Struthio camelus: one gene and its partners. The protein of the gene in region 1 interacts with the protein of each later gene in a pairwise test. Links are inferred from orthologs where the notes say so. Each region holds a gene or a part of one and is shown in the gene's direction. Other genes may lie near its edges.

What was found.
Region 2: the proteins of PACSIN1 (region 1) and COBLL1 interact in binary tests that used the Homo sapiens proteins (3 or more experiments, as listed by UniProt). The link is inferred for Struthio camelus from reciprocal best matches to the Homo sapiens genes PACSIN1 and COBLL1.
Region 3: the proteins of PACSIN1 (region 1) and EHBP1 interact in a two-hybrid assay, tested with the Homo sapiens proteins (2 studies listed by BioGRID and IntAct). The link is inferred for Struthio camelus from reciprocal best matches to the Homo sapiens genes PACSIN1 and EHBP1.

What each region holds. Positions count from the first base shown.
Region 1 is NC_090965.1:5,556,810-5,566,553, reverse strand, and holds the start of PACSIN1 (protein kinase C and casein kinase substrate in neurons protein 1), read left to right. Parts: upstream 1-4,575; 5' UTR 4,576-4,721; intron 4,722-8,582; exon of another isoform or gene 8,583-8,672; intron 8,673-9,744. UniProt on the Homo sapiens protein: Plays a role in the reorganization of the microtubule cytoskeleton via its interaction with MAPT; this decreases microtubule stability and inhibits MAPT-induced microtubule polymerization.
Region 2 is NC_090947.1:25,499,711-25,509,454, forward strand, and holds the start of COBLL1 (cordon-bleu protein-like 1), read left to right. Parts: upstream 1-3,575; 5' UTR 3,576-3,761; coding exon 3,762-3,781; exon of another isoform or gene 3,782-3,881; intron 3,882-6,194; exon of another isoform or gene 6,195-6,277; intron 6,278-9,744.
Region 3 is NC_090944.1:140,245,591-140,255,334, forward strand, and holds the start of EHBP1 (EH domain-binding protein 1), read left to right. Parts: upstream 1-3,146; 5' UTR 3,147-3,301; intron 3,302-4,255; 5' UTR 4,256-4,312; intron 4,313-4,675; 5' UTR 4,676-4,791; intron 4,792-9,744. Other genes in the region: TMEM17 (transmembrane protein 17), read right to left, coding at 2,925-3,030. UniProt on the Homo sapiens protein: May play a role in actin reorganization. Links clathrin-mediated endocytosis to the actin cytoskeleton. May act as Rab effector protein and play a role in vesicle trafficking.

The sequences.
Region 1 (9,744 bases):
GGCAGGACCCGGGTGCCGCCCCAGCAGCCGCCTCGGCCCAGGCCCCGGAGCCCCGGCCCAGGCCTGGCCCTCCGGTAACGGTCCCCCCCGGGGCCCCCCCCTGCGGCCTAGCCGCTCCCGCCCCGCAGACAGGGGCCTGGGCTCCCCCCAGCCCGGAAATACGCCCGTGGGGGGCCGGGCCGCGGCGGTCCCACCGCTGCCCAGCGGCGGCCCCGCAGCGCCGCCCCGGGATGGCGCCGAACCGAGGCCGATGCGAGCCCGGAGCGCGGCCTCACCGTGGCGGCGGCGGCGGGCCCGAGAGCGGAAAGGAGGGCGCATGCGCAGAGCGCCGGCTTCCGGCCTCCGAAAGGCCCCCCCGGCGCGGCGGGTGGCCGCGGCGGTGCCTGAGGGAGGCGCGCCGAGGCCCCCGCCGCGCCGGGCAGCGGGGTGTCCGCGGCGGTGCCTGTTTGGAAACGCGCCCCCTTCCCGCGGGGCCGGTTTGGCCGCGGAGAGCCGCCTGCTCCCCCGGGCCCTCCCCGCCACGCTGCCCCACGCGATCCCCCCGCGTTCCCCAGCCCTTCCTCCCTTCGCCCCTGACGCCCAGAGGGCAGCACGGCGCGAGGCCTAGCCCGCGTGGAGCGAACCGCACTCCTCTTTTGGGGGCCAAACCGGCGTTTTGTGCATTTGGGGCGGGGGGGGGGCAGAGCTGGGGGCGCGTTGGCACAGGAGGGCGTTTCTGATGTTCCCCGCCTGCCCCGGCTTCGCCAGCCGCCGTCCCGTCCCGATAACGGGTGCGCCGATTTCCTCCACGTGAAACGAGGAGAGAGGAGCGCGGCGGCGGCGGCGGCGGCGAAGCCCTGGGCTCGGCCTGCGCTTGTCGCCCCCGGGCAGCGGAGCGGCCGCCTGCCTCCAGGCCTCAGGTCGCCGCGACAGAGAAGGGGCGGAGGTGGCTGGCAGGAAGGCAGCGCGTTATCCCAGCTCGTTATCCCGGCCCGTTATCCCGTTATTGCTCTAGGAAGCAGAGCCAGGCACCGGCAGAGGGAGGGGACGTCCGTCCCCTCTGCGCTTCGCAGGGCCCCGCTCGGCCCCGCACGCTGGGCAGCAGAGGCCTGGGGCGCTCAGTGCATGGAGCGGGCAAGGCCACGGGTGCCCCGGCTGCCCTCAGGTCTGCCGGCTGGAGAAACCCGGGGCGCGCGTCCCCGCGCAGGCTGGCCACCCGGGGCCGGCAGCAGCGCTAGAGGGAGCTGCTGTTATCCGGATGACGAGCCGTGCCCGGCGCGCCAGGGCCGGACGGACGCAGGCTCGCGGGCGATGCCAGCGTGGGCGAGCCGCCCCCGCTCCCCCCTCCTCCAAATCTGCGCCAAACGCCCCAAATCCTGATCGCCGTCTCTCCACCGCCGCCTTACCCGGGGATCCCCCACAGCCCGCTGGCGCGAGGGGGCAGCCGGGGCGGTCAGGGGCTTGCCCCCTTTTTCGTCTTCCCAAATCTCCCTCCTCAAAAACCTGCCCTGGATATAGGGCTGCGGGAAGTTTTCTGATCCCCCTCCGCGGGGTGCCCGAGCGAAGAGCCTCCCGGCACAGAAACAGCTCTTCCCCAGCAAAACCAGGCAGGGCTTCATTTAACGGAGCCTTTAAATATTTCATCGAGCAAGTAAAGAAATACAGCCCGTGCCTTGGGGGGGGGCTGCTGCCCCCAGGTCCTCGCACCGGCCAGCTGCTGCCTCGCCAGACGGTGCACGCCGGCGCGCTGCCTCGCGGCGAGGACCTTCCCGCCGAGCAGCTCCGGCCCGGAAAGGGCCTTGGAGACCAGCTGCGTCGCGGCTCGCTCGCCTTCCCCCGGCAGCAGCCCGTGCGTGGGAAATGCCATCACGAGGGTCCCTTTCCCAGCGGCTGCTAGCGATGCCGCCCGCAGGGCCTGGCGCTGCTCTCCCAGCCCTGGCAACCCCGGCCCCGGAAAGCAACAAGCACGAAGCTTCACGTCCCAGCGGCTGCTGGACCCCGTAAAATGCAGCCCGTGGGTCTCCGCAGAGCGTTTTGACATCTCAAGAGTTTGGGAAAACCCTCAAATCACCGTTTTTAAATCAGGTCAGGGAGGAACGACGGTGCGTGGCAGCTCCGCATGCTGCTACGTGTTTCTGCTGCGGCATCCGAAAAGAAGCGGCACCTTTTCCTTCTTCAGCTTGGCCCACGGGGACCCCCGCGGTCACACGTGTCTGGGCCTGATGGGATTTGCAGTGCCGACTCCTTTTCTCACGGTGGAGGCAGATTGCTGGGATCATCCTGCACACCCTGGCGGGGATTAGCGTCCTGGGGGCGCGTTGCCAGCCCCGCTCCGGCCAGGGCGCTGGCCGCGGGTCCCTGCCCCGCCGCCCCTGCCCCGCACGCAGACATCCCTATCGCGTCCGCCCGGCGCGGCGCCGGGGTCTCCAGACGCTCTCGGCGTTGGCTCGGCTGCTTTTGCCATCGGTCCTGGGAGCGAAACGGCAGCAGGAACAAGGGCAGCGCTGGGACGGGGAAGCCGCGAGGGGAAGCCAGCAAGAATAGGTTTTAGCAGGGAAGGCAGCGCCGCAGCGAATCGCAAACCACCCCTCAGCGTAGGCGAGATGCTGTCCGCGCGAGCATCCCCAAGCCCTCTGCAGGTGTTCCTGAGCACAGACAGCCGACGGAGCGGAGCGGAGCGTTGCCTCTTTTCACAGGGAGGAGAGAGCAAGGCAGGCAAGGGGAGCACCCGATGCGCACACCTCCTGGGGAATCTCCAAGCTCTTGCTTGTCTGCTCTGACTGCAGGACAGCCACTGCCGTCCCGGCAAGCCCGGGATGGTGCCTAGCACTGCATCACAGCATCGCTGCGGGAAGGCCTGCGGTGGCCCTGCGCTTGCAATAAGCCCTGCTGTTTCCTGCAGGTGGTGCAGGGAAGAGCCGAAGGTGAGGAGGAAGCGACACACCTGCGATGCCCTTTGGAGCCGGGCTGTAAAGCCCTGGCTGGGATCCTGGGGGCAGGATGGGTCTTGCAGGTGTGGGGAAAACGTGGGACGCACACGCAGGTCTGCCGAGGAGAGCTGCCGCTGCTCCCTGACCTGGCTCACGTGCTCGAGCAAAGGGCTTGGGGCTTGTTGAAGGCGTGCAAAGACCCTTTTGCACCCCGGATTACCCCAGCCAGGAGATCTGAGGGCAGCTGGGCCACCCGCAGCCCAGCTCGGCAACCTCTGCACCGGCACTGAGCCGTCCCTGGGACGGGGTGGAGACGCCGCATCCTCTTCTCTATCCTCTCTGGTCCTTTCGCATCTTCAGCAGGACGGGACGAGGCCCTTTCCGTGAAAGGCTCAGCCCCTGTAATTTTTTGACTGGGGCAGGAATAAGGAAAAGGTCTTTTCCTTCCCGTCCTGCACTGGTTGCAGCACAGGGCACGCTTGCCTTTTATCTTTCCATCTGCGTGTGTATGTACGTCTACCCACTCCCCGTTGTGCCGCCGGACCCCTGCCTCCCTGTCGCTTTGGGCTGACATGGAGCTGATCAGACCCCGCGGAGCAGCAGAAAGCAGCGGGGCACAGCGCTTGCCTCCCTCCCGGCTCCTGCTGCGGGCTCCCGGCACCGCTGCAAGGAGCCTGCAGAGCTCCCCACGGTGTCGGCGCGTTCACACTGCGATTCGGGCTCTGTGCGTCCGCTGGGTGCCGCGCGGCTTTTGCGACCCGCAAACGCTTGGGACAGGCTGACCCAGAAGCTGGGCAGTGCCAGACTGGCTGTTTCCTGCACCTTGCTCCAAGGAGCGCAACCTCCCTGGACTCCAACACGTGCTGGAGAGAAACCTGCTCTGCGCACCTCCGGGCTCGGGGCCCTTCTGTCGTTAGGAGGAGCTGAGAGCAGCTGGCTGCGCTTCGGAGGAAAAAAAAAAAACCTTCCTTTTTTTTTCCTTGAAGCAGGTCCGGCGAAACACAGTGCTTTCGTACCCGATGCAGGCACGGAGCCGCCGTGCACCTGCGCTCGCTGCAAGCGGCTCGTCCCTCCTAGGGCGACCTGCTGCCTTCGCCCCCGGCACTGCCCGCGCTGCCCTGTGGGCCAAGCACGGCCGCCCGCCGGGGACGGCGTCCAGGCGCCCCGGGGCGCCGCGGCGTCCTCCTCTCCCACGCCGGCGCTCCTCCTGCCTGATTCGGAGATGGAAATGCCAGAGCCGGGGCCGGGCTCCCGCGGGCGGCAGCGGGGAGAGGGCTGCTGTGCCCTGCAAACTGCCCCGGCTGGACCCCGCGGGGCTTTGCAGTGCGGGGACCCCCCAAATCAGCCCCGGGGTGCCAGGGGCTGGCTAGGAGAGCAGAGGGAGAGGAGCAGGGAAGGAGGCTGCAAATAAAAGCTTGCAAGGGGGGAAAAAAAAAAAGAGCAAGGAAATGAAGGAGAGACGAGCCGGGGGGTATAGGCAGCGGGACGCCACAGCTGCCTCCGCCTGGCCAGGCCAAGCCGGGCTCCAGGCTTATTCCTTGCTGCTTCTGCAGTAATGTTTTCACCTTGCGCTGCGAAGGAGTCATTGCGCCGAGCCGGGGCGGCGATTGGCTGGCTAAAAATGCCTCTCTAATCTCCGTGCTGATCTTTACCCCCCTCCTCCCCATCTGCTGTGACCTTCCTTCCAATGTGCAGCGCCAGCCGGAGCGAGACGGAGCCAACCGGCCTTGCCTGCCAGCTGCCCGGGCGCCCGGGCCACCCCGGTGGGCGCCCCTCGCCGCTGCCCATGGTCCCCGCAGCCTCTCCGCGCAGGTACCGGCACGCCGTCCCCGGGCGCCCGGGGGGGTCGGGGCAGGCGACGACGGGCGGCCGGGGTGCCGGCAGGCAGCGGGTGGCCCCGGGGCGGGGGGCAGGGCCCGCTGCTGGGAGCCCGCCAGCTGGCCCCCTCCGAAGCCGGGTCCCTAAAGCTTTCCGTGAACCTATGACACAGAGCTGGAAGCCGAAAACGGGGCCCGAACGGCCCGCAGATGTCGTGGCCGTCGGCGCCGAGCGAGCTGACCGCTGCGCTCGTCTCCCCGCCGCCCCGGCGGCGCCGTCTCGCCCGGCCGGCGGGCAGCGCCGCGTCCCGCGCCCGGACCCCGGCGCGGCCTTCCAAGGGCCGTGGCCCCCTTCCCAGGCGCTGCTGCGGGCCGAGCCGGCTCCTCGCGGTCCCGCGGCGGGGGCAGCGCCAGCCCTCGGCGTGCCCCGCCGTGCCTAGCCCCCGCGCCCCTCGCGCCCCCTCCCTGATCCCTCTCCGGCGTCGCCTGCCGCAGCATCCTGCCCCCCTGCCCCAAACCCCCATCCCCAGCGCCCTCTGGACACGTTGGCCAAACGCTGATCCGTCCCCCGGAGGGACCCCGGCCCCCCGGTGGGTGCCAGCCTCCGGCAGGGCCCTGGCAGCGCCCCGGCCCCGGCACGGCTCTGCCTTGGGCCAGCACCGCGGGGGCCGCCGGGGGGGAGTGGGGGGGTTCCTCGGGGTCTCCGAGAGGGGACGACCTGCGGCGGGGGCTGAGCTCCGGAGGGGCTCGGAGAGCCGAGATGAGAAGGTCTGGGGGAGCTTCACCATCCTTCCTGGCCGCTTTGCACCCGCAGGAGGGGGTGGAGGGGGTCCGTGCGCACGTGCTGCTGGGGACGCCCCGAGGGGCGCAGGGCTCGCGCCGGCCGGTTTCGGGGGGCCCCGGCGCTGCGGAGGGGCAGCCGAGCCGGAGGCTGGTGCAGCCGGGGCGCGCGGGGCCGGCAGCCTGGTGGCATCTCCGTCGGGGCTTTGCTGTCGCTTTGCACAGCCGGGAGGCAGGGGGAGGCAGCCAAAACGTCGCGGGGGCAGAGCCGGAGATGCTGCCCTAACTGCGGCCACCCCCCGGGGCGAAACGGCTCCTCTTGCCGGGCTCGTCCCCCCATTCCCACCGCAGCCGCCAGCCCCGCGGCACCACTCTTGCACCCGCCTTGGGAACGGCCAAGCAAGCGCTTTGCTAAACGGATTAGAGCCGGCGCTTCCCGCCGCCTCTCCGAGCCGCCTCGACCCTCCGCGCTACCCTCGGAGCTCGAGCGCCGGCGGCTCCGAGCGGCTGCAGGGATCCCGGCGATGCTGCTGCCGGCCTGGCCCTGCAGCCCCCGGGGGCCGTCGGTCCCGCGCCCGAGCACGAGGACGGTCCCTCTGCTGCGGAGCCCGGAGCAGGTCCTTCCCGCTCCTCCTGCCGGGGCAGCGGCGTTGCCAACAGCGCTGGCCCCGCGCGGGGAGACTTTGTCCCCTCGCCAGGCGGCCGGCCCGCCCGACGTTTGTGCGAGGCCTAGGAGCGAGCCGGGTGGCTGCTGCAGCTCTGCAGGCGCCGGGGGACAGCGAGGTGCCGCCGGGGCCCGGCCGGCCGGGGCGATACCTCGGCGCCTCTCCGCCCTGCGCCGCGAGCTGCTTTCCCAGGGGAAAATGGAGCCTTTGTGGCGCGGCCCCTGCCCCTTCCCCGGAAGGGCTCCGACGATACCCCCGGGGCCGGCGGTTAGCGGACAAAAAGGGGATTGTTTGGGTGGGAGCCGGGTTTGTGGCGGCACCTGCGCCGCGCCGGCGGGGGGGGCCCTGCACAATGGCTCGCTTTCTGCAGGACTGCGCTCGCCCGCCGCTGCCGCCGCTAATTAGAGATGCAAAATAGCCCCGCGCCTGGCTTCCCACGGCCGGCGGGGGCGAAGCTCGGCAGCGGGAAGGCTGGGGGCCGGCCGGGGACCCCTCTCGGCCCCTCCGGCCGCCGCGACGCTTCTGCTGCGCTCCTCTGGGAGGGAAGCGCCTTGCCGCGCTGCTGGCAGAAGCGTCATCGTAGACCGCCGAGCGGCCCCCTAAATCAGGCCTCGTTTCCTGCCGGCGTCGGTTGTTGCTTCCCACGCGGGCGCTGATTTTGCAGGAGGGGAAATAGTAACCCGTGGGATAGTGAAAGCCGGGGGAAAAGCGTGTCGGGGAAGCGGTTTTGGGGGAGAAGCGGCTGGCTCTCGTCCCGTGAGCCCAGCGCCAGCTCGGCAGCCGGGCAGACGCGGCTCCCCAGCTGCGAGCGAGCCTGCCAGGCAAAGAGATGTGGCTCAGCTCGTCCGAGCCCCGATGCTCAGAGCGGTCGCCCCTCCGCGTCCTGATGCCCCCGCGCAGCAGGCGGCGGTGCAGAGAGCGGCGGCTGAGACCTGCCAGCTCGCGCCACCCAAGGACTGCAGAGCTCCCCGAGGCGTTTGTCAGGGCGCCGCTGCCCAATTAGTCTCCCGTCTCCGCTTTCTTGCCGGAGAGTCTAACGGCCTGAAGCACCAAAAGGCGAAAATCACCCGGCGTTTTGCAGGAATTGTAGCCGAGGTGATTTTGCAACGCCGAAGCGCTGCAGCCAACCGAGAGAGGCAGCCGCAAGGCAGGGGGCTGCCCTCGGCCCGCCGGGACGTCCCCGCTCCGGCCCTGTGCCGGCTCGGCGGCCTGCGGCGCGCTGCCCGCCGCTCGGGGCATCAGCAGACGAATCGCCCGTCGGGGCGTCAAATCTTCTTCCCAAAAAGTCTCTGCTCCGCCTTTGCCAGGTCTGGTAGGTGGCTCCTTCTGCCAAACGTGCCGGGTGGCAAAACCAACCCCAGGGCACAGCGGCTGCAAGGGGGGCGAGGAGCCCGATTCAGCGGGCTGGATTCGCCACCTCGCCCGAACCCCGCCAGGCGCCCGCAGAGCCCGTCCGCCGCCGCAGACAGCGCAGGGCGCCAGGGAGGCGCTGGGGTGAAGCACCCGGAGCGAGCCGGCCCCGGCTCCCGGTGGATGCTCGGAGCCGGGCTGGGGAGTGCCGAGGCCGGGGGGGGGCCCCCACCGAGCTTCATTAGCAAGTCAAAAGTGCTCGTTAGAGGAAAGACGAGCTGGCAGTGGAGCCGCGCGGGACCCGGCTTGCGTCCTCTGGGCAACCCGATCCGGGCGGCCGCGGCGCGGGGCAGCCAGGCAGCCTCATTAGTGCAGCCGCTGAAGGCGGCTTCTATTACTCAGCTCGAAGCTCTTGTCTCCTGCTGCCTTTTAATTCCCCTCACATCGCCGTCGAGCCGGGGGATGATGCCGAAACGGCGCATTAGAGCAACTCAGAGCAGGGGGGCACACGGCTGAGTCCCGGCGGGCTCTGCTGCCCGTGCACGAGGGGCTGGGACCCCCCGGGCCGACACACAGAGCGCCGGGACCCTCGGGATCCTAATTCAGCTCTACCGAGAGGCTCCTGGCAGTGCAGCCTGGGGCAGAAAGCAGCCCCTTTGCAGCCTAAATGCAAGGGAAAGCTGCAGCAGGCAGTGCGGCAGCCCTGGTCGGTGGGTGCTGAGCACCTCGACCCCAAGACCGGGTACACTAGGACCATGCCTTAGCGAGGGTCTCCAGCAGGGCCTTGGTGGAGCTGGAAGGGGCTTGCAGAGCCCGACAGCGAGGCAGCACCCACAGCAGCACCCAGGGCCGGGTGCAGGACGCAGCAAGCGCATGCCCGGCTCGCTGCCTGGGGGACCCTGGGCTGGGGGCAGGAGACGGTGGGGGGGGACTATCCCCCCGCCAGGATGAGGTTTGCAACCGGCGCAGGCAGCGGCTCCATCCCCGTTGCCATGACAACGGGCAGGCTGCAGGCAGGGCGCGTGCCCGGGCCCGTGCACGGCGCTGCTGCACGGCCGGCGCGCAGCGCAGCGCGGCCGCCCCGCCGTGCCCGGCGCCCCACAGCGGGCCCACGCCGGGACCCCCATCTGCCGGGCACCCGCCTGCCCCAGGTAAGCACCGTCCCCTGTGGGGCTTGGCCGGGGCAGCCTGGAAAGCAGCACGAGACACCTGGGTTCCTTGCAGGGATGGTGATGGGGATGCAGGATGCCTGTGCCCCCTGCACAGACAGGGATGGGGATGCAGGATGCCTGGATCCCTTGCAGGGATGGGGATGAGGATGCAGGATGCCTGTGCCCACTGCTCGGATGGGGATGGGGATGCAGGATGCCGGGATCCCTTGCAGGGATGGTGATGGGAATGCAGGATGCCTGGTTCCCTTGCAGGGATGGGGATAGGGATGCAGGATGCCTGTGCCCACTGCACAGACAGGGATGGGAATGCAGGATGCCGGGATCCCTTGCAGGGATGGGGATGAGGATGCAGGATGCTTAGGTCCCCAGCACGGCTGCCACGCAAAGACTAGGCAGTATGGCATTGGTTTGCACCCCACAGGCAGGATGCGTTGTCCCCCAATGCCAGGGAGGGCAGGGGTGTGCACAACCTTCAGGCCCCCCCAGTGCTTCTGAGGGGGTGCCAGGGGCAGGGGACGCTTCGTCTGTGGTGCTGCCTCACTCACAGGTTTGTGCCTCAGTTTCCCCAGCTGTAAAGGGAGGGGGGGAGGGAGGGTTTGTGCTTTCCCTCTCGTCACTCTCCCACTACCCAGCTGAGATCCTCACCCCCATCACTGAAATCCCTCCTTTTGCAGTTGCAGCCCTGGCTTCACCCCTCGCCCCCCCACCTACAGTCCTTCCACCCCATCCCTGTGCTTCCTACCCCCGGCTTTGACTCCCTCCAGCTCTTTGCCCAGTCTCCTTCCCCACCAAACGCAGCTCAGATCGAGCCAGCCCCCTGCTCCCACTGGCCCCCCTCAGTCCATCTCGCCTCCCGTCTGCATCCGCAGCGCCGGGTCTGTGCCGCCGAGGTGGAGGGGACGGGACCCCCGTAGGCACGCGTGACACTCGGATCCCCCCGTCCCCACGTGGAAGCGGGGTGGGGTGGGGGGAACGGCACCACCGTATCCTCTAGCACCGCCGTTTGCTAGGTCTCACTTTAATTGCAATCTCCTATTTGGAATTGTACCTA
Region 2 (9,744 bases), on another chromosome or scaffold:
TGTGAAAAGCCTATGCTGAATGATATTGGTGGGGGAAAATGTAACCTCTTTAAGAGGTACTGGAATAGCCAAGTGCGTGCTTACAGAAATGGAAAACTTCTTCTTTCTTCCCTTTCAGATTATCTGTTGTGTCTGACACTTGCTCGTCTTAAGCACAACTAGCACAGCCATTTAAAAAACCCGAAGCACAACTATATGAAGCATGCTTGGTAGTTTTGTTATTAGTAGTATGAATGATAATATATAACATATACACACAGGATTTTTATATTAGGTGTTTTGATTTGGCACTATAAATAAAACAGATGCTGATCTTCTAATGACCTAGTGAATAGTCTTAAATTGTGTTGGCGACTCCCTGAGTGAAAACCACGTGGTTTTCAATAGTGATAATTTTGTTGCTTTATATGCAAAAGCTTTAAAGAAGGAAACGCTAATTACTGCCACCAGATACCAGTAGGACTAAAAAAAAAAAAAAAATCAGACGTTTTATTTGAATATGAATTGAATTATTCCTAGCTGCAGCCTTTAGACTGGGATGGTAATTATTACTTCCGAGAGGAATTCATGAATCTTTTAACATATTGGCCATAGCGAATATTTTGGCATTCTAAAATCCGCATCAATACCCTGTTCGCACTGAAATTTGCACGACTGGTGGTCTCAGTCTGCAAGTCTGGCTTGGTCTGCCTACCATTGTCCTCAGCCTTTCAAGCAGTTAAAATTTCAAGGAATTTTTGTTCAGTCTAAGCACTGTTAACTCTTGAGTTTGAGTGCGGGCTGTTCTTGATTTGGGACAGAACCAACCATTGAGCTGAGAGAGACTGAGAAATTGTTTCAGTTAACCTTAAGTGTATTAGATAAAACTGACTTAATCTGTTTTGCTTGGCATAGTGGTGATGGATGCCTGTGATAGGATTTCTCAGGCAACAGGTTAGATAAGGAGCTGTCAGTAAAGTTATTCACTCTGTGCGCAAACACATTCTCCTAAGATGTTAGCCTCTGGCTGAGGTGGTACAGGAGCCACTTCAGAGCACCATGTGGCCTGATACAAATCTAGAAGCAGCATCTCCTGATTATGGGAACCTCCCAGAAGGTGCTGCAGTGGATATTAGTGCTTGCCCCAAAGAGTTTGCTGACTGTATTCCATCCAAGTACCTGGGTAGGCTTAAATGTAAGCGCTCCACATTGCTATATAAGTTAGGTTTAACTTTGAGAAAAGGTAACGGAACTGAGACTTGATTTTCTTTTTTCATCCAGTTATTTGCAGCTTGCATTTGAGTTACTTTTTCTTGACAATGGGCTCAAGTTTCTGCAAGATATCTTTCTTCAGACACTGTAAAGTTGTTTTTTTCCAGATAGCATAAATACTATAGTTTTGTTTCTGAAAATGAATAATTGAGATCTGACACTTCAATAGTTTTGTAGGTGGTACTGATGTCCGAATTGAATGGATGAAAATGTGTATTTGCCTTTGCTGCCTAAGTGTTCAACTGATTGCTAAAACTTGTTTATTTGAAGTGTTTAGTGGAGCATCTTACAAAGAAATAGGAGAGGCTGAAAAGCATGGAGGAAGAAAGAGTCCTAATTCTAAAATATCCCATTAAAGTTGTTTTGCAAAATTAAAGGGGGCGTGGAAAACAGGACTGGATTCTTTTTATGGTATAAAGCCACAGAAGACATAACAAAGCTCCTTAATAGTCTCTCTTGAATTGGCTGAAGTAGACATGTCAGGATTAATGACTATACAAATCTCTAGATGTACTGTGTAGGTTGTTTGGTCAGGTGGTGGGATTATAAATAGGCAGGCTTACTGATGTCACCAGTAAAGGAAAGGAACAACAGTGAACTCACCATGCATACACTTACTCCATCCCCTCTACCTACGTATGCTATTGAAAGAAATTCACTTGATTTTGATGGAGAAGAGAAACCTGTCTTATCTTGGAGGTAAGCTGGAGAGTAAGTTTAATCCATTTTAGTTATTTCTCTTCCCTCTCTCATTGTTCAGATGGTCAGCAGAACTGGCTTCCAAGTAATGCTTATATTTTCTTGGGAACAACATACTGGCAACAATTTCATTTAATATATACAGATAAAACGACCCACAAAACTGTTCTGATTGAGGTAAATGGGAATCCTGGAAACATAGGTTGACGTAAAATGACAAATATTTTGCAAGACTGCGGATGACTGTCTTGATATTTACACAGTATTTCCTTGCTTATTTGATTTGAACTTGTCATAACTCCCGTTGTGAGGAAAAAGATCTAGCTGTAATTATATATCTTCAGCAGCACTTAAGTCTTTGCTGTTTTAGAGGAGGCAGAGTTCAGGGCTGGGACAGTACGTAAGTTGCTAGAACTTAAACGTAGGCCCATAAAAGGAAAAAGAATTAGTCTGTAGTCTTATTTTCAGAGAAAACAAATAATTCGGTCAAGGTACAAAAGCTTTTTTTAATTCCCTTTGAGCCACAAAAGATGAATGTGAATACAGACCTGTAAACTTATCTGTGTAGATGGACTGCTGGAATTTCAGTGGCTTACTTCTGAGTATAGAGGCTGGTCTACTTTTTGTTAGGTTGCAGATCGTAGCCTAGACGTTCAAGTGAGATTAGTTTAAAGGAAGAATATGTATTTCATGGAGACTCTAAGCCTTTTCTGACTGTCATTCATCTGATTTTGATCTCAAATTATGTTTGGAAGAAAAGCACTTGCTTAATGTAATAATTTGTAAAAATTCAATGCCTGAAGTGTTTTGATACAGCAGAGTCCTTACTGTGTATTCATTGCTTTATAATGTAAAGCACTTTTATTTATCATGGAACACATTAAAACGTTATGGTAATTTCTGAATAGATTTATTTATTTTTTCATATATTTTATATATGTGTATATCAAGATGCGCTTTGTTTACAGGAACATCGAAAGAATGTCAAGAAGTCTTGTTCAGTTAAACTTCTTGTAAGAGTCGTTATACTTCATGCATTGAATCACAGTGTTTGAAAAAAAGCAGCAGTGAAAAATACCGGGTGTAAACTTTTGATTGTAAAGCTGGAAAGGATGAGAAGGGGTGAATATAGTAGTCTAGCATAATAGAGCGAGTTATTTGCTAGCATGGTTGTATAGGAAAGTTTCTCTACGTTTCACAGAGCAGGCGGCTGCTGCTGCTGCTGATTATACTCCTTATAAAAGGTTAGTAGGAAATACGTTTCTCCCTTTCTTTTCCTAAAGAATTTTTTCCTCACTTTGTAGTTAACGGCAGAAGTCTCATTCCCTTTTTCGGAAAGCACAGAGGCTTTCTAGTGGTAGTTACGGGAAATCCAAAATAGCTTTGCTGTCATCCCACCGTGATGCAGGGAGCCAGCTTTCTTTGAAGTGAAATCCTCTTCTTGTCTGTTGGAAGAATCCAGTCAGAAATGGATCTAGGGGATTTCCAGTGTGCGGAAGAGAGTGGGGAAGGTGCAGCTGGGGGTGAATTTGGGGAGGGAATAGCAGCATTCGGTCAGGGACCTGCACCCCAGCCAATGAGAGAGTTTAAGTTGAAGTAGGACAAAGGGGAGGGAGGCTTCTGCTGTCAGCAGTGCCAAAGGTGCATCTGAAAGCTGCCAGGCGGCCTGCTGCTGCGAGAGAGCTGGGCTACAGGAGAGCTGCCTGTGCTTCGTACATGCATCAATGGTTATTCCCCCCTGCCACCATTAATAAGAGGTCAAAGACAGGCTTGGGTGCCGGTAGCAGCACTGATGTTTGAGGGGATGGTAAATGTTACCTTGTTCCTTAAGGTAAGAGGGTTTCCCACTTTGCTTCCTGAGGAAGACGCAGGGAGAGGATTGAGCGTTAAGGAAAAAGCTGTGGAAGATGAGCAGAAGAATCTGGTGGAAGGTTAGGGCTCAAAAGCGTTTGTTCGTTATTTTGCAAAGGATTTTAGCCCGAGATACTTGGTACTTCTGCTTGCAGAAGTAAAGCCGTGTTGGTCAGACTCAGGGAGAAATGTTCTAGCTTTGTGAATATTAACTAAATTGAAAAATGAAACTGCTAAGATGCTTCTGCAATTTCGTTTAAAGGAAAAAAAGCTTACTTAGGTACAATTTCTTGGCCTGAACTTAACTTTTTTTCTTTCATTTTTCTTTCCTGTAATGAATTAGGCTTCCTTGTTTGCTTGCATGGCTGTCTACATAGTACCTCTCTCTCTTGCTCCTCTTCTGTCAGTTCCTCTCATGTCACTTACCAAATGTATAATTTTATAATTTTTGTTAAAGCTTCTTGCTCAAAGTAGAAAACTTCCTCTGCTTCCTAGTCCCTTCCTATGCCTATAATCATGTCTCCTCTTCATTTTAGCAAACCCTCCTGTTTCTTGGTCATGCAAACGTACAAAGGATTTTGAAGTTTTACCGAACTATAGGTAGCTAAAAGATAAAACAACTAAAAACAGTGACAGAATGGGGGAACGAGGGAAGGCTCGTTCGGAAGCCCTTTCTTTTCCGAACACTTGCCTGAAAAGTAGAAATTAGATGATATCACTGTGCTTAGCTCTGTTACCCTTCTTATATCTGAATCTTCAGCTGGGAAACTGGAGTGCTGAACGCAGTCTTCTACAGGGAGTAAAATTTATCTTCCCTGTTGTTACTGCAGAGCTCCCTAGTTACTGTCCTGCATTATTTTATCTGTATTACCCATCCACACCTACACCCACCTACCTACATTTGAGGCATGTGTTATATGTAAGAAAAAGGGAGAGGTCTGTTAGTCTTTTCTGCCTGCTGTAATACTGAGAGGCTCTGCTTTTCTTTTCCTTACCTTTCTCAACCTCCAAATCCATCCAGTGCCTGCCTCCAGTGTTACTTCTAAGGCATGATTTTAAACAGAAGAGAAAAGTGGCAGAAGAAAAGCTAAGATAAGCAGACAATTCTTAGCTGTATTGATGTTCAGAGCAGTAGCGATAAAAGCCATGAGTAGAGCCAGGTGTTTCATCTGCCAGCTTTGAAAAGTCAGTGATGTTATACCTGCTTTCATGACTGGGAGATAATAGCCAGAAGGGCAGATTTAGGTTTTGCTCTGTATGAGAGCCCTTAATTGAACTTTCCTCACTGGTCATGGGAGAAAAATATCTGTATGAACATGCTTTTATAGAAGTTCTTGAAAAAAGATTTGTGGGTTTGTTTCTAGTGGAGGTAACAGGTTTTCTTGAGTTTTAAGCATTTGTTAGATTTATTAGTGTATCAAAGGTTAAGCTCCCCCTTTCAGTTCAAGCTGCTCTTTGTTTTCTTTTCCTGTTTATTCAGCCAGTTATATATTGCTTAATCACTGTTACAGATTTACTATTTTCTCTTCCCTACTCTCCCTCGGTTCTGTCAGGCTGTTTTCACGACTGTAGGTATAATAAAGGCTAAGTGAGTCATATGAAGTTTTAATAATTTTGAATGTCATTCAAGTTCTTTATAATTTCTCTTATTAGTAAATTTAGGTTATTTTCTGCACTTGATACCTTGTGAAAGGAGTGCTAACAGATGCAAGTATCTGCACTACAAAGGTATATTGCACATGACATGCCAAGTTTGTAATTTTATGTTAGCCCTATTTACTTTAGAAGTCAGAGTTTTTAGGCTCCTAGAAGTAAGGTTGTTGGAACTAATTTTTTCCACTCTTCTGTCTTTTTTTTTTCTTTTAGAAATGAGAAAAAAGCTTATTTTGGGCCAACAGAATGCGATAGAAAGGAATGTTTGTATCAGAACCTGTTTCTCTAATCTTTTAATAGTAATAATAAACTTTATGCTAATTCATAGCATAAAGTATATTTTTATTCTCTGTTGCAGGCTAGGATTACGAGCTCTTGGCTAACTTCCTAGCAGCAAGGCAATTCTGGCAATTAGAGTGGAGCTAATTGTTTTGTTGGATGGTGTAAGGCAACACTAAGTCAGTAGCTATCTGTTGCTGAAGAGCTGGGTAGTCGTTCACGGTTTAAATGAACTTGAAAAAGTCATTGTAACTTGCAAGTGTGATTTGGCTTTTAAGGGCAAAGATTGACTTTTGTTTTTCTAGAAAAGGTTTAAATTTGTACTGGAGTTAGGCTACATAAATTTATACTGGACTTGCTGCCCTTTAATGCTACGAGAGCCATGAATGAAAACATGACCGTACCATATAGATTTGCAGCTACTTTGTCTCTGAATCTCCCCTTTTTCCTTGTAAGAGAAGAAATCATAGCATGAATTATGCCTTGAATACAGTCTCTTCTGTTTCCAAGACTGCCACTGCCTTGAGGACAGATAATCAGACAGGCAAGTGTCTGTTCCAAATGGTCTGGAGGAAACTAAGGGATTCATTTGTTGCTTTCTTGCTTTTAGTGTGAACCAGACGTCCGAAGATTCCATTAAGCTTTCACCTTCCTGTCATGGTTACGGTCCCGGTTTTGTGATTTATTTCTCTCTAGGAAAAAACTTTTTTTCTTCTTCCTCTCTTCATCCAATTGATCGGAAAAAACTTTTCTGTAGCAAGGGATTTGAAAACATGTCTTGATTCCAGGGATGCCTCCTTTTCTTGCTCTAATTTATTTATGGAAGGAGAGTGGTAAACAGATAACTTCCATTTTTTGCTTTCATTATAGCAGTCGTCTGCATATAGGCACAGATGGGAGAACATCTGCAGAGGATCTGTTTTTGCTGGAATCTCACTGAGTAAACCCATAGAGATAATCTTCAAAGATCAGTTCATTAATCATATCACTTGTAGCCTAATTACTGAAAGTCAGCTGCCAAACACTTTTTTGTTACAGGAGAACCATTTACCATAGTCCCTCATTTCTAGTACCATCTTATATATTATACTGTATGTAAAAAAAAAAAAAAAAAAAAAAAAAAAAAGGCAGTATTAATTTGAAGTATCGCTCTCCTGCCAGCCTGGGAATCTGTAGAGAAGTACGCTATGATATACCTCAGTGTCACAGGAGATTGAGCGATCGTTGTCATGTTTCTCCCTCCACTTGGAAACTGCAGTTAGAAGTATGCTTCTGTACTGTTTTTGGCAGCTGTTGAGCCACCTACTAGATACCCTATCTATACAATGTAACTTCAGAATCTTCCCCAAACAGTTAAGCTGATGAGTTTTCAGTAATCTGAGTGCTCATATTTACCTATGGAACAGATACAGCAAATATGTTTCCTTTATATTGTCCTACACACCTATCGTAAACCTATCCTAAGGATGGACAGTACTTGACTCTCCTTGCTCCAGGCCTTGGTCTTATGGTGCTTTTACAGTAGAAGAAATTAGATAGAGACTGTGTATCAAACAGTCATTTATTAATCTAAAGTTGAAAGAGGGTGGGAGGAAGTGTTTCCACTTTTGAAACTTCTGATTATGGTCTGTTAATTATTTAAAAAATAAAACTGGAAGTCTTCTAATGCAAAGAGCATAAGGTCTTTAAACATGCAGAACCAGTTTTAGCGTTCTGAAGTATCTTTTTTCTCATGTACCAGAAATTGTCCAGTCCTTAGGTTTGTGATTAAGAAAACTATAGTGTTTTAAGATGAATATGGGCAATGTTTTACAGCATTAGAGAAGGAAGTATCTTACTGCTGGGGAGTCTCTTTAGCTCTTGTGTTTAGACAGTTATATAACATATTCTTTAACCATGTAGATGATGTAAACTACCCCCTTTTCTGTTTTACTTTGTCTTGACTTTTTGAGTGACAAGTAACTTAATGGTTTCATGTGGCTATATGGTATTCATATGGCAGTGAACTGTTACTAGGCTTGTATCAGGCATGAACTGCATTAATATTTAATAACTTCTAGTTCTTTTTCTGGTTCTCGTAGGTTTTGAGCTTTGGGAGTGGAAAGTGCATGCCTTCAGACCTCTTCCTTTGGAGAGGTGCTGATTTGAGAGACGTTCCCAGAAAGTTTGACAACAAAAGACAGTGTTGTAGCCATTCGGGCACTTCTCTTGCTGAGATTCTTGACAAACAGTGCTAGAACTGAAAGCAAATGCTGAGCGAGCCATTGAAGACTACCTTCTGCATTTACCTTTAATTTCATTGCATAATAAAAGTTCAGAGAGATTCTTGTCTGAGAAGGGATGAGCAAAGAACATATACACATACAGCCATAGATCTAAGTGCAGCTAAAATAGATGTTGGAATAATGATGGAAATAGGCACGTGTTCATTCATGTCATATAAACAGGTATGTTAAAGCTGGGAGCAGGAGTGATGTTTTTAACGTCTGCCATTCTGTGATATGACATGAGATGTCTGGGCTCTTCGGTTGAATCCTCTTTACAGCAGACGTACAATGACAAGGAAAAGGCTGTTTCTTCCCATACGTTTGCAGTGTTCTGGGGATTTTTGGTTTTGCCTTGTGTTTTAAGGCTATGGTTTATTTCAGGCTTTGTCCTTGATCGCCTTGCAGGTTGTTGTGGTTTGTGTTCCCAGTTTATCTGATCCTGTTCCTGTGTTCAGCTGTTCATTTGTCTTCATCACTTAATTCAAGATAGACACACAGTTGGCTCAGCCAGGGGGCAGTAACTTTACCTGAAGAAAGGGCATGTGTGCCTTCTCAAGTGGCAGCCATTTACCTCGATCCAGTGCATGGGCTTCTGCTATAAACCCTAGGCTCCCCTCTGGGTAGTTTTCGCGAGTTACCTCACTCTGTCTTTGTGCCCACCTCAAGGTGGGAACTCTGGCTGTTCCTGAGGAGCAAGGTCTACGTACTGACTTTTAGGCCTAGGAGTTAGCCCTGATAGCCTCCTATGCAGAGCAAGTCATCAAAGTTCAAGGAAATGTCTTGGTCATTCCTCTGTTACTTAGTGTGCATTTCCTGCTATGGAGATGGTCGTTGTATGAATTGTGTTTTGGAGCAGCTTTAGGACAAAACAACACTGAACACCCAGAGCTGACACACATGTAGCTAGTATATCAAGAAAAGCCACGAATTCCAGAGTTTTCAGGCTAAAAGAGAAATATTTCATATGCAATAGGTATGTCGGATGCTATTGTTAGTACTCAGATTAAGAACAATAAAAATGAAAATTGAACTACATTTCACTAAAAGAAAACAAAAACGAATAATCTGTACTTATATGACAGGTGAAGCTGACATCTCATTTCCATAGCCATTCTTAAAAAAAAGAAGAAGCTATGCATTACCCTGAAATATGTAATTTCTATAAAAGTTGTAAAGGCTTTATTTTTTGAGTGACTTTCCCTTTGCCATACCAGAGGAAGCACAATTAGCTAATACTCTTGCACTGCTCCTAAACCTTTCCCTTAATATTTGATCTTGAGTATGTGCTGCAGTGATGCTGTGAAACCATAATCCCCAAATAGGGAACTGAAGAAACAGTGGGAAAGTTGGTGCTTTCATTGGCTTTGCTTTGTGTATGAGACAATCTGTAATTTTAAAGATTAGGATTGGGTTGAGAATGGTTGTGGGGGAAATTAGCGGCTTACATATTTTTTTAATATCTGTTGCCCAGAACTGATATTACATTGTAAACAAAACAAATAATTGTACTTAAATAGACCTGAACTCTTGCTCAGTTGTTGTTTAGTTGAGCAGATGATGTGTGTGAGGTTTTGGCCATCTGGTGCTAAGCAGTGGAGGAACATTATTGTAATAATCCAGAAAGCATTATAATAATGGCTTGGGGTAAGAAGTCAAAGGCAAGGAAAGCTCTGGAAGGAGCTTCATTGCAGTGACTTTTCTGAGGTCATCTAAACATGAGCTAGATGCTGTTCTGACTTTGAAA
Region 3 (9,744 bases), on another chromosome or scaffold:
GTCTTTATCACTTCTAGTTTGTTCCAGATGTACCTTCACTACGTGTGGCAGAAAGATACTGCTCCATCTTAGCTTCAGGCAGGGCATTAGCACTGATCTTAGGTAAATTAAATATTAAGAATGGCATTTTCAGAGACCCAGAGGAAAAACTCTGCCCTATTTTGGGTTACACCATTTCCCAGGATCTAATGTAACTTTCAGTTCACAGGATATAGAATTTTGATCCCTTAGTTATAAATTCAAATCAAGTGTTTGACTGTGGAGTAAATCATAAGCCACCAGCTAATCAACAGTCTCTGAACTAAATTGATAGGCTTTGTTCAAGTAGTAGTGTATCCTGACATTGTAGAAATAGTAAGTGCCAATTTTATTTTTGTTCTCTAAGAAAATGTCCCAAGTTTAAATGAATACACTTATGGCTTATTCTCGTTTTGTATCTGACCCTCCTGGGTACAGACTTGCTGCTAGAGAGCAGGTTTGCAATGCCCACTCTCCATTTTGAATCTTTATTTAAGATAGACATTTGAATACACAGTGACACTGCAAGATGACAGTAATTCTTTTACTTCTTTGGAGCTAACAGTTCGTCATACGTATCAAACTCAAACTTATTTCCGTCTCTCCAGACTTTAAAGGATAAGTTGACACAATGCAAAGAAAAAAATATTGAACTGCATAACACTAGGCAGGCTGTAAATTCTAAAATTAGGACTTAGCCATAGATTTAGAAGATTAAACTCAAACAAAGAAAAACTTACCAGGGCATCCCAAGAGAATTGTTTGTTTTTAATGGACTAAGTTTTATTGCCACAGTCTAGTTAACCGATGTCGCATGCAATTTACTTCAATTACCAACAGTCTCTTTTCTCACGTTTTCCCTAAATGCAGTTTGCAGACAAATCTTCACTTGGTACTACCTGAGCAAGTTTAGAAAGATTTCATTGTGAGCTGCTGCTCTGGACCTGCTGTTTTGTATCTAAGTCCCGTGCCCCAGCGTGCCACCATGGTGATATTCAATTGAAACTCAGATTATCAGCCATGTTTTGTTCACCTTTGACTTCAGAACCACCTCTCTTCTGATAATGCCATCTCTTGTCATATCTTCCAACCATTCTCATACCTGTCTTTGTTCCATCTCAGTCTGTCATCCCTGTTCCCCGTTCCACCACATGCAGCCTGGTACAGTCTGTTCCAGAAGTCTTTATGCCAGTTGCAGAAGTGTTCATGGTAGCTACTGGGCTAGGTGGGAAGGGAGGAGGATTTGGGGACAGAACTGGGACAAACCTTAAGGGTAGGGTTTGATGGGCGAGGATTTGCTATACTGAAACAGAAGGTGCAAGACAACCAATATTTTTAATAATCCCATTTTTAAATATCAACACTCTCCTACATCTGCATGGAATGAAAATCTATAGGTACCTCAAAGCAGTTTTACTGTCTACCTAAATTTGTCCGAGGAACTGTCAGCTGTTCTAATGAATGAATCCCTAAATACCAGATCTAGGGTACTAACCATGGATTGTAGAGGCACTGAGATGCAATTCTAAAACACTGTTTTATCTTTCAAAAAATCAGACTATCTAATTATAACCAACTGTGTTTCTGTCCCATTAGATGAAAATGTAATGTTATTCAAAAAAAGCCAGTGAGAATGTTTTGGGTACTTTTAGGTCTTAGTGACAAGGCATGCATACTGGTAACTTCTTCTCAAGTTTTAAGACTGTGTTTTGGATGAATGTTTAGCAATATAAGCCAAGTCTAATTCATCTTTCTACACCTAAATCGAACTACTGTTTACTTTTTGGGATTGTAAAAATATGTGGAAATGCCAGACAGTAACCCAGTGGCCCCTTGGCACCAGGGCAACTCACTAAAGTATGTATGTGTAGACTTAAGATTCAAAAACAGGACCTCAAAGAGGTTAATGGTCTATTTACCATTGGTTTCAATGGGCTGGACATTCATGTAGGAGTTTTCAAGAAAGAAAAGGTAAAATAAATGATTAAAATAAGAAGCTATTCCTGGAGTTAAGAAAAGCGTCTCAGTGGTGCTTGGTAGCTGTAATTAGGAATTGATCTGGCTAAACGAGGAAGTGCTAGCACTATAGATAGACCGGTCTAACGACACAAACAAAATGGGTTCTCTTGAAATAATAATAGCTTTTTGCTTTATTTTATCATCCTGCAGGTTTCACTAGCAAGGTGACGAAGCTATCGGTCCTTATTGGTAAGAGCTGCAAGAAGAAGGTTGAAGGTCTGGGTTTTTGCTTGGTTCGTCTCCTTCTGCTCTGAGCGTCCGGTGGGTGTCCTAACTCTGCGTAGGACTATTGGGCTTAAAACAATAGCTCCCGTCTTTTATTTGTTCTCAAGGTTCTCTATAAAATCATTACTACGTTTTAATTTCGTATAGGTGGAGTGTACAGTGTGTAGTATTGGTGTCTTTTATCGGTCATATTTTATGCCGACTCGCTTATTGAGCTGTAAAGGTGGGTGCAGAGGGTCGTGCGGAGCTGCTTTTAAATCAGACTGTTGCGCATTTAATATTTTAAGTGCCCGGGAAGCCAGTCTTAACCCTGCGCCACTGAAGCACGTTAAGTGCAGGGGGAAAGATTACGGCCGCTGTTGTTTTACTCCAGAAAACACCCATTAAGTTACACTACATCATCGACAGCGAAACCAGAGACCACGTAGAGACCGCCAGGCCCGCGCCGGCCCTCCCTCAGGAGAGCGGAGACACCGCGTAACGGCCGTGGGCGCGCGGCCCCGCCCCAACGGCCTCTAGGCGTCGGCTGGTGCCGCCATCTTTATTCCTGGCAAGCCCCTCCCCTCCCCCGCGCGCCTCGGCACCGTTCCCTCGGCGGGCGCTGTCCCCCGCCGCCATGTCTGTCGCTGGCACGACGCCCGGCCAGCCGCCACCGCCCTTACCTGCGCTGTTGCCCGGGGACTGCGGGCCGCTGCGGCGGCTGCTGTCGATAAAGACAGTGCGGCTAAAGGAGCCGAGCCGCCTCCTCAGGGGCTCGGGCAGCGACATGCTGCGGCGCCGCGGCCCGCCGTTACTGTGGCGACGGGGCGGCGCGCAGGCGCAGTGGGGCCGGCGGCGCGTCCGTTGGCCGCCTCAGGACGGCGCTCGGCGGGGGGAGGCGCTGGCGTGTGGGTGGATATGTTTTTTCTAGTTTGTTTGGGCACGGCTCGTTATTATTATTATTAATTTGTTTTTTTTTTTTTAAATCACGGTTACAAAAGGTTGTTTCAGCAGGCGGTTGCTTCCCTCCTGAGCAGGGCTGTTTTCCATCTCTATGAGGGTAAATTCAGGGGATCCGTAGTGTTCAGTGATAACTAGGGAGGGAGAAGTGGAGTAAGGGTGGACATTGTTGGAGCTATTTAATTCCTCAGAGTGGGTATTGTTTTGAGTGGCTATCATACAGCGTTGGTTTTATGATAGATCGAGGTAAAACTCAGCTAGAAAATATCCTTTCCTCGAAGAAACCTGTTTGTGGCACAGCTGAGTTAAAAGTAGTGGTGATATCAGCAGAGCCTTTTAATTCCAGTTAGCTTTTATGCCTTATAGGAAGTCTTCCTGGGCAGTAAGAAAAGCTCTTGTTTTATTTTGAACGTATAGGTACTTTGTGCCTGAACCCTAATAATGCTGTAATCTGTCACCAGGATTTTTCAGAACACTTAGGGCCTGGCTCCTTCTGAGGAGAAAGGATGCGTTTTGTAAGCCTGGAGGAAATTATGTTCTGCCTGACCAGAACAAAAGAGCAACTTGTGCCCTTTCCTACGAGGGCTGATAACTTTTGAACTTTTGTGATTTTTATGTACCTAATGTGACGTGGCGACTCCCTTCCCTTCTCCTTCCAAAAATCATATTTAGCTACTTCCCTGGGTGCTCATTCTCTAGTATGACTTTCCAAGCTCAATTATCTCTGACTAAATAATTTAAAGCCTAGTTTAAATTTAATTTTGCCCTATTCCACTGGGAGAACCCCAGAGACAGATGAAAAACATGAGTTCTGAGAAATACGTTTGGTTTAGTGCTGATGAATGATGTAGTATTCACAACAGATACTTTTCAAAGAGCTTCCCCAAACAGATGTATGCCAGCAGGGACCTACATAAAAAACTTGGGTCCTTCAGAAGAGGTGAAGTGATTTTTAAATAATTGCCGCAGGTTGGAGGGGAGAAGGGTCTCGAGGAATCCAGAATTCTGGAAGGATCCCAGAATTTCAAGGGATGCTGTGCATGTCCCCTAACAGGCAAGGAAGGCAGCAGGCTTTGCTGTGGAAGTACTCCTAGAAAATGAAGCTTAAAAGGTAGGTGATGCTACAGATAAGACAAAACAGAAGCTTAATCCTGTGCAATGCTGTATGCAGTTTCTGTTGAATCCTACAGAAAGGGATGCAAAACTTAAAACAGGTCCTGGGCACAAGAAGGCAGATATGCTATTAAATGTAAGATATTCCTTACAAAATAACAAAAGAAAAAAGATAATGTAGCTCTGTCTGTACAGCACTGACCACAGCTCAGCAAGGCTGCCTGGACTAGCCTTGAGCTAGCTAGCTCAGGTTTGCTGCTAGGACAGCTCTGCAGGGAAATAATCTAGCAAAGGCAAAATGAGTATTTGTCCAGCTCCTTTGACCTGACTGTATCTGACTTTGAGCTCTGTCTTATTGTAGGCATACTGACAATGGTGCCTGAGTGAGCTGGCCTATTTGATGGAGTAGACATACCAACAGTCTTGTGTCCCAGCCAGACATGGACCCCAAAGCTCAGAGCTGTGAAGGCACTGGAGGTATACCATAGTTTCAATGACTAAAATCTGTGCCTGTGTGCCTGCTAATTAGCTGACTACCAAGTACAGTACTAGAAGGGTTTAAAGCTCTCTTTAACATTTACGGCAACGTGGAAAAAAAGTGTTAGGTAGGTTGCTGAACGTTTAAGAAATGCAATCTGTATTTGTTATTTTGCCAGTTGCCAGTAGGTGCTAGAAACAGGTTTCCTACCAGACTCAACAAATGATTTTTGAGTGCTTTTTGCATCATCTTGCACCTCTTGCTGTAAAGTTGTGCTATAGACAGTGGCAAGATGATGAATCCGTGCAAGATTTCTAATCAAGTTGCCTGAAACCCTGTTTTATTGTTGTTGCCTTGGTCCTAATCTATTTCACACCCTTCCGATTAGGGGTGCACTATTCCCATATTCTCAGTTAATTACACCCAAGGAACAGGTGTATATGAATTAAAAGCGTGGTTGGGTTTTGATTAAGGAAGATCTTCATGGAAGTTGCAGGGTTTTTCATAGTATAAGCTGGTGGCCTGTTAAAGTTCAGCCTTTAAGGATTTTCCTCTTGATTACTTTTTCAGAATGGAAGGAGGAATTTTTCCTAGAATGCACAGTGTTGTTCCTTTCCTGTTGCCAGTGGCTTTGAGCAGGGGCCCTGATCTCCCAAACTGATTTTCTTACGTTCCCCCATTCTGAAAACCTATGAAGCATACAGTCGGGTGTCCTGTGAGCAGCTCTATGGCAGTCAATGGAACTTGGTAAAATTGGGCTCTGCACTTTCAAAACTGTGAAGCAATCCAGCTTAACAGTCAGTGAAGTGTGAAACTGAGTAGCAGGTAAAGGAAAGGCTGATGGAATGCAGATACCACAAGAAATGCCTGGATTTGCCATGTGAACTCAATTTCCAAACTCAAGGTGTGAATCTGTGATATTTGGCAGCCTCACGTTTATAGCAGATGGCCGAGCATTCCACACGTCCCCGCAAAATAAAATTGTGCACATTTTTATTTCGTGTTTTGGTGTCCGCTCAGACGCTTAAAATACTCCCTGAAGACGGAATATGCTTTTTGTTTTGCTAATCCTGCTTAATTTTCTTCAGGCTGAGTCGTGCATTTATTGTCAATGTAATGAACAGAATTCCTCTGATTTTTTTTTTTAGGGTTTTTTAGGGAGCAGTTTCAAGCAGAAAATAATCTGAAACCCTTTAAGTATCAGAACACCAGGGTATCTGCATTGATAAATCAAAGCTTCATATAACAGAAGCTTATAAATATATGCTATAAGGGGTGACAGAAAGAAAAACGCTTAGCCGTGTGTGACTATAACAGTTATGATGGCCATCTGTATAAATAGTGTAAGTATCCAAGTTTTATAATAAAGTTGTATATTGGCTTTTTATTTTTTAACGGAAAGGCATTCCGTTACTGAATTCCTTTGTGTCTATCCACCTATGAGTGCTTAAGGTAGAAATAGACAGATTTCCAGTTCTCCAGGCTTCAAAATAAGCTACTGAAATGAGAAACTGGAGGAAATAAACCCATAGTTGTGCAGCATATTAAGTGACTGTTTTATTTCTCTCGGCACATGCTAACTATAAATAAAACAAAAGTCACTGAAAATCTGCCTGAAAGCTTTAAATCAGAGGAATATTGGATCTTTGTGTATCCACAGTAGTCCAACTAAGTTGGTAGACACTGGCTTGGCTCCCAGACCGAAGCTCCTGGGGCTCTCTGGCAACAGCACTAAGCCATAAACACCAGATGCAGTATATCTAACGAAATTAAATATCAGCAGTTTTTTACAGCTGGCATTTCAGAAACACAGAGTTCATTTAAATGGTGCCAATGGTTTATCTTTCCACCTGAATCGCAATTGCTGTATTTCTGAATGTGCTGGTTTGGAATCTCACAAATGTTGTTTTCCCTGGCATGCCTGCGCTACTGCCCCTTAGATAGCTATAAGCATGCAAGCAACAGAAATCATTCTTCCCTTTGCTTGCCCTTTAATACCTGCCCAGTGTTTTAATAGAAATCCTGTAAAACATGTAAAAAGTGCTGGTGAACAGAGGTATGCACAGACAAGCAGAGTATAGGCTTGTTTTCTCCTTCTGTTCTCAGAAAGAAGTGACAGATTGGGAATTTTAACAAATTACAAATGCCATGAGGACTCTCTGTGTTTGAAAGGATCACGTTATTAGCTGTGACAGTGTCTGCCAGAGCAATTTCACAGCTGTGCGCCTGGCTTGCGGTACCCTAGGACAATCTTTTCTCCATGTCACTTGAATGCTACTCCCTGGTGTTCGTTTAACACCTAGAGGATTTTTGTGTCTGGTAAACAATTATTGCTGCTGATGAGACCTATTGGAGGCCCCTATTTCAAGCATTATATATAGCTGCAGTCCTTCCATGCATTAAATATATCTTGGCTATTTTAGTCTTAAGCATAAAGACAGTAGGGAAAAAAAAGCTATTACTTGCTCCCATGAATTGATTTTCTTCTTGCTGTACTTGGCATTTAGTTAAAACCGTTTCCTAGCTTGTTTTGTTTTGGCGATTTTTAGTTTTATAAAGCACGTTGGGAAACTCAAAGCTGGTGCTGCTGTTAAACCAGTTTTACTGTTTGTTTTGCAGAAGTACTAAAGGACTATATGGTACAGAAGGAGGTACTGTAAATGGATGAATTTTGAGCCATATTCTCACTTACACAAACGTCTGTTGTCATTGACGTGCCACTGAAAGCTTTTCTGTGTGACCCGACTGGTGCAGAGAGGCCCCTTCTTTTCCAAAGGTGGCTCTGGAATAGCCAGCAAAGGCCATGTTATAACGCTGTCAGTCAGACTGACATGTGAAATTCAGGTTTCATTTTTCTGATCATAAGCTTTGTCAGCAAACGGATGCTCACTCTGCTTCCAGACTTTACGGGAGATAAATTCTGCCCCATTCACACCTGCAAGTCTTGGCACGACTGGGCTTTCTGTGCCTCTCCTCTCCCAAGTGCCAGAATTCAGGCTTCAGACTTAATCTTTCAGGAGGTGCAGAGCAAGGTGGTGGGGGCTGTCGGTAATTCTCAGCAAAGCAGGTTTCATTCGATATGCAGTCGGAATAGCTGCGCTGGTCTCTTTGTGCAGAAATGTGCAGTGAAAAACCTGCCTCGGCTCTAGAGTGGCTTTGCAGCCCTTTGTAGTTGCAGGGGAGTATGTGTGGGAGGATACTTTATTGCAGAGGATCTGATGGCTTCAACTCTGTTCTCTTTTCTTTGCCTGAATAGGTAGGTGAGGTGATCTTTCCTGCTGTAATTTTTGCTGTCTAAATATTACTTGTGCAGTCCAAGCTAGTTTTGCAGGCTTCACCTCTGACATGGGTTCCCCTAGAGGGCAACTCCTAATTGCAGTTCTTGGGAAGGAGTGATCTGCTTGCTGCATGCATCTGCCCTTCTCTGCTGATTACAGAAGGAGTCTAGATGGTTTGCTAAAACAAGGTGCAAAGCAGTTAAAAGCTGGACATTGTACAGAAATCTGAACTCACCCAGAACTTGTTCTGGGGACCTGAGCACCCCCACCTACCTGGGAGGGGTGTTTGTGTTCTCCAGGCATGACACCAGATGCTTTACCTATGCTCCGTATAACTGATAAAAAATGCTTCCTGGGACACCGGCCGTGGCAATGCTGGAAACAACCTTCTGTTTTCTATTGCAAAATCCAAAGGTGCAGTATTTAAAAATTTGCCTCCAAGGTGGCATGCATCTGTGTGCTGATAAACCAGAGGCAGGATTGAACGTTCACTGCATACATGCTGCTGATGGTGACAGTTCTCTGTAACAGCTGTTTAAGCACACCCTTTGCAATTAGGTCAAACTTAAACCCTAAATGAGTGATGCAGGACAATATTAGTAATTTGATCATTTAGGAAAAAAAAGCCACAAGGCAGAGAGGATACTTACCGTCCATATTTAGACGGATACATGAATGCCTAATTTCAAAAGCGTAGGTGTGTCAAACGTTAATGCAACGTTAGTGGGAGCTGCAAGTAGCACCCTGAAAAATGAGGCCAGTTATTTGGGTTCTCTGATATGCATTTGGATGCCTAAATTTGAACTTCCAAACACTAGCAAACTTTCCCTTTGCTTGGAAGCTTTGCTGAACGTAAAGGTACGCATTGTCTAGTCAAGTCAGAATCTGTGGGTTTCTATTATCCATTCTTCATGTTCGTGCCTATGCTTCCTCCTTGTGAGGTTCAAGGATTTTGAGAATGACTGGAAATCCCCACAAGTCCCACGGCTAAGGCACAGAAGCAGAATTCTGGTTCCGGGCCTTTAGTTTTGCACATCGTGGGTTACGCTGTTGGGGATGCTAGGGCAACACCACTGCGATCTACAAGGTCTTTCTGTTGGGATGTGGATTTGGCTGCATATTTATTTTTGTTCTGTGATCTGTTGGCTTTAGGCTCTTTACTGAGTTTCCAAAGAAAACAAACTTGGCTGAAGTTCTCATTGAGTACTTCAGAAACAAGAGTCTAGTAACTCTCCAAAGTGCCAAAGAGCCCCTATGTCTATCTTTATTAGATTTTAAATTATTTCAGGGAGAGGTTTTGTATTTGTGGGTACACTTTGGCTCCTTGCACCGTTGCACCTCAGTCTCAGCTGTGATAGGAGTTGCTGTTGTAGTATGAATCATCGTTTTGAACTCTCCAGTCTGCTGTCTTTGAGATGTAAGACTTGTATTTGTCATTTGAAGATGGGGTTTCTCATGTAACCAGAATCTATAAGGTGGTGCTTAAGACTAGAGAAAGTCTAAAGGGATTTTTAACTGTGAAGATGTTGTTTAAAGTCAGAGAATTCTCTTTTGGCATGCTGAATTGTTTCCACTGATGGTGGAGGAGGCAGGATTGAAGGATCTAATCCAGTCTGTTGTGGGTGCTTGCTTGCACTCTCTCTTCCTGAAATGCTTCATTACAGGACGCTATTA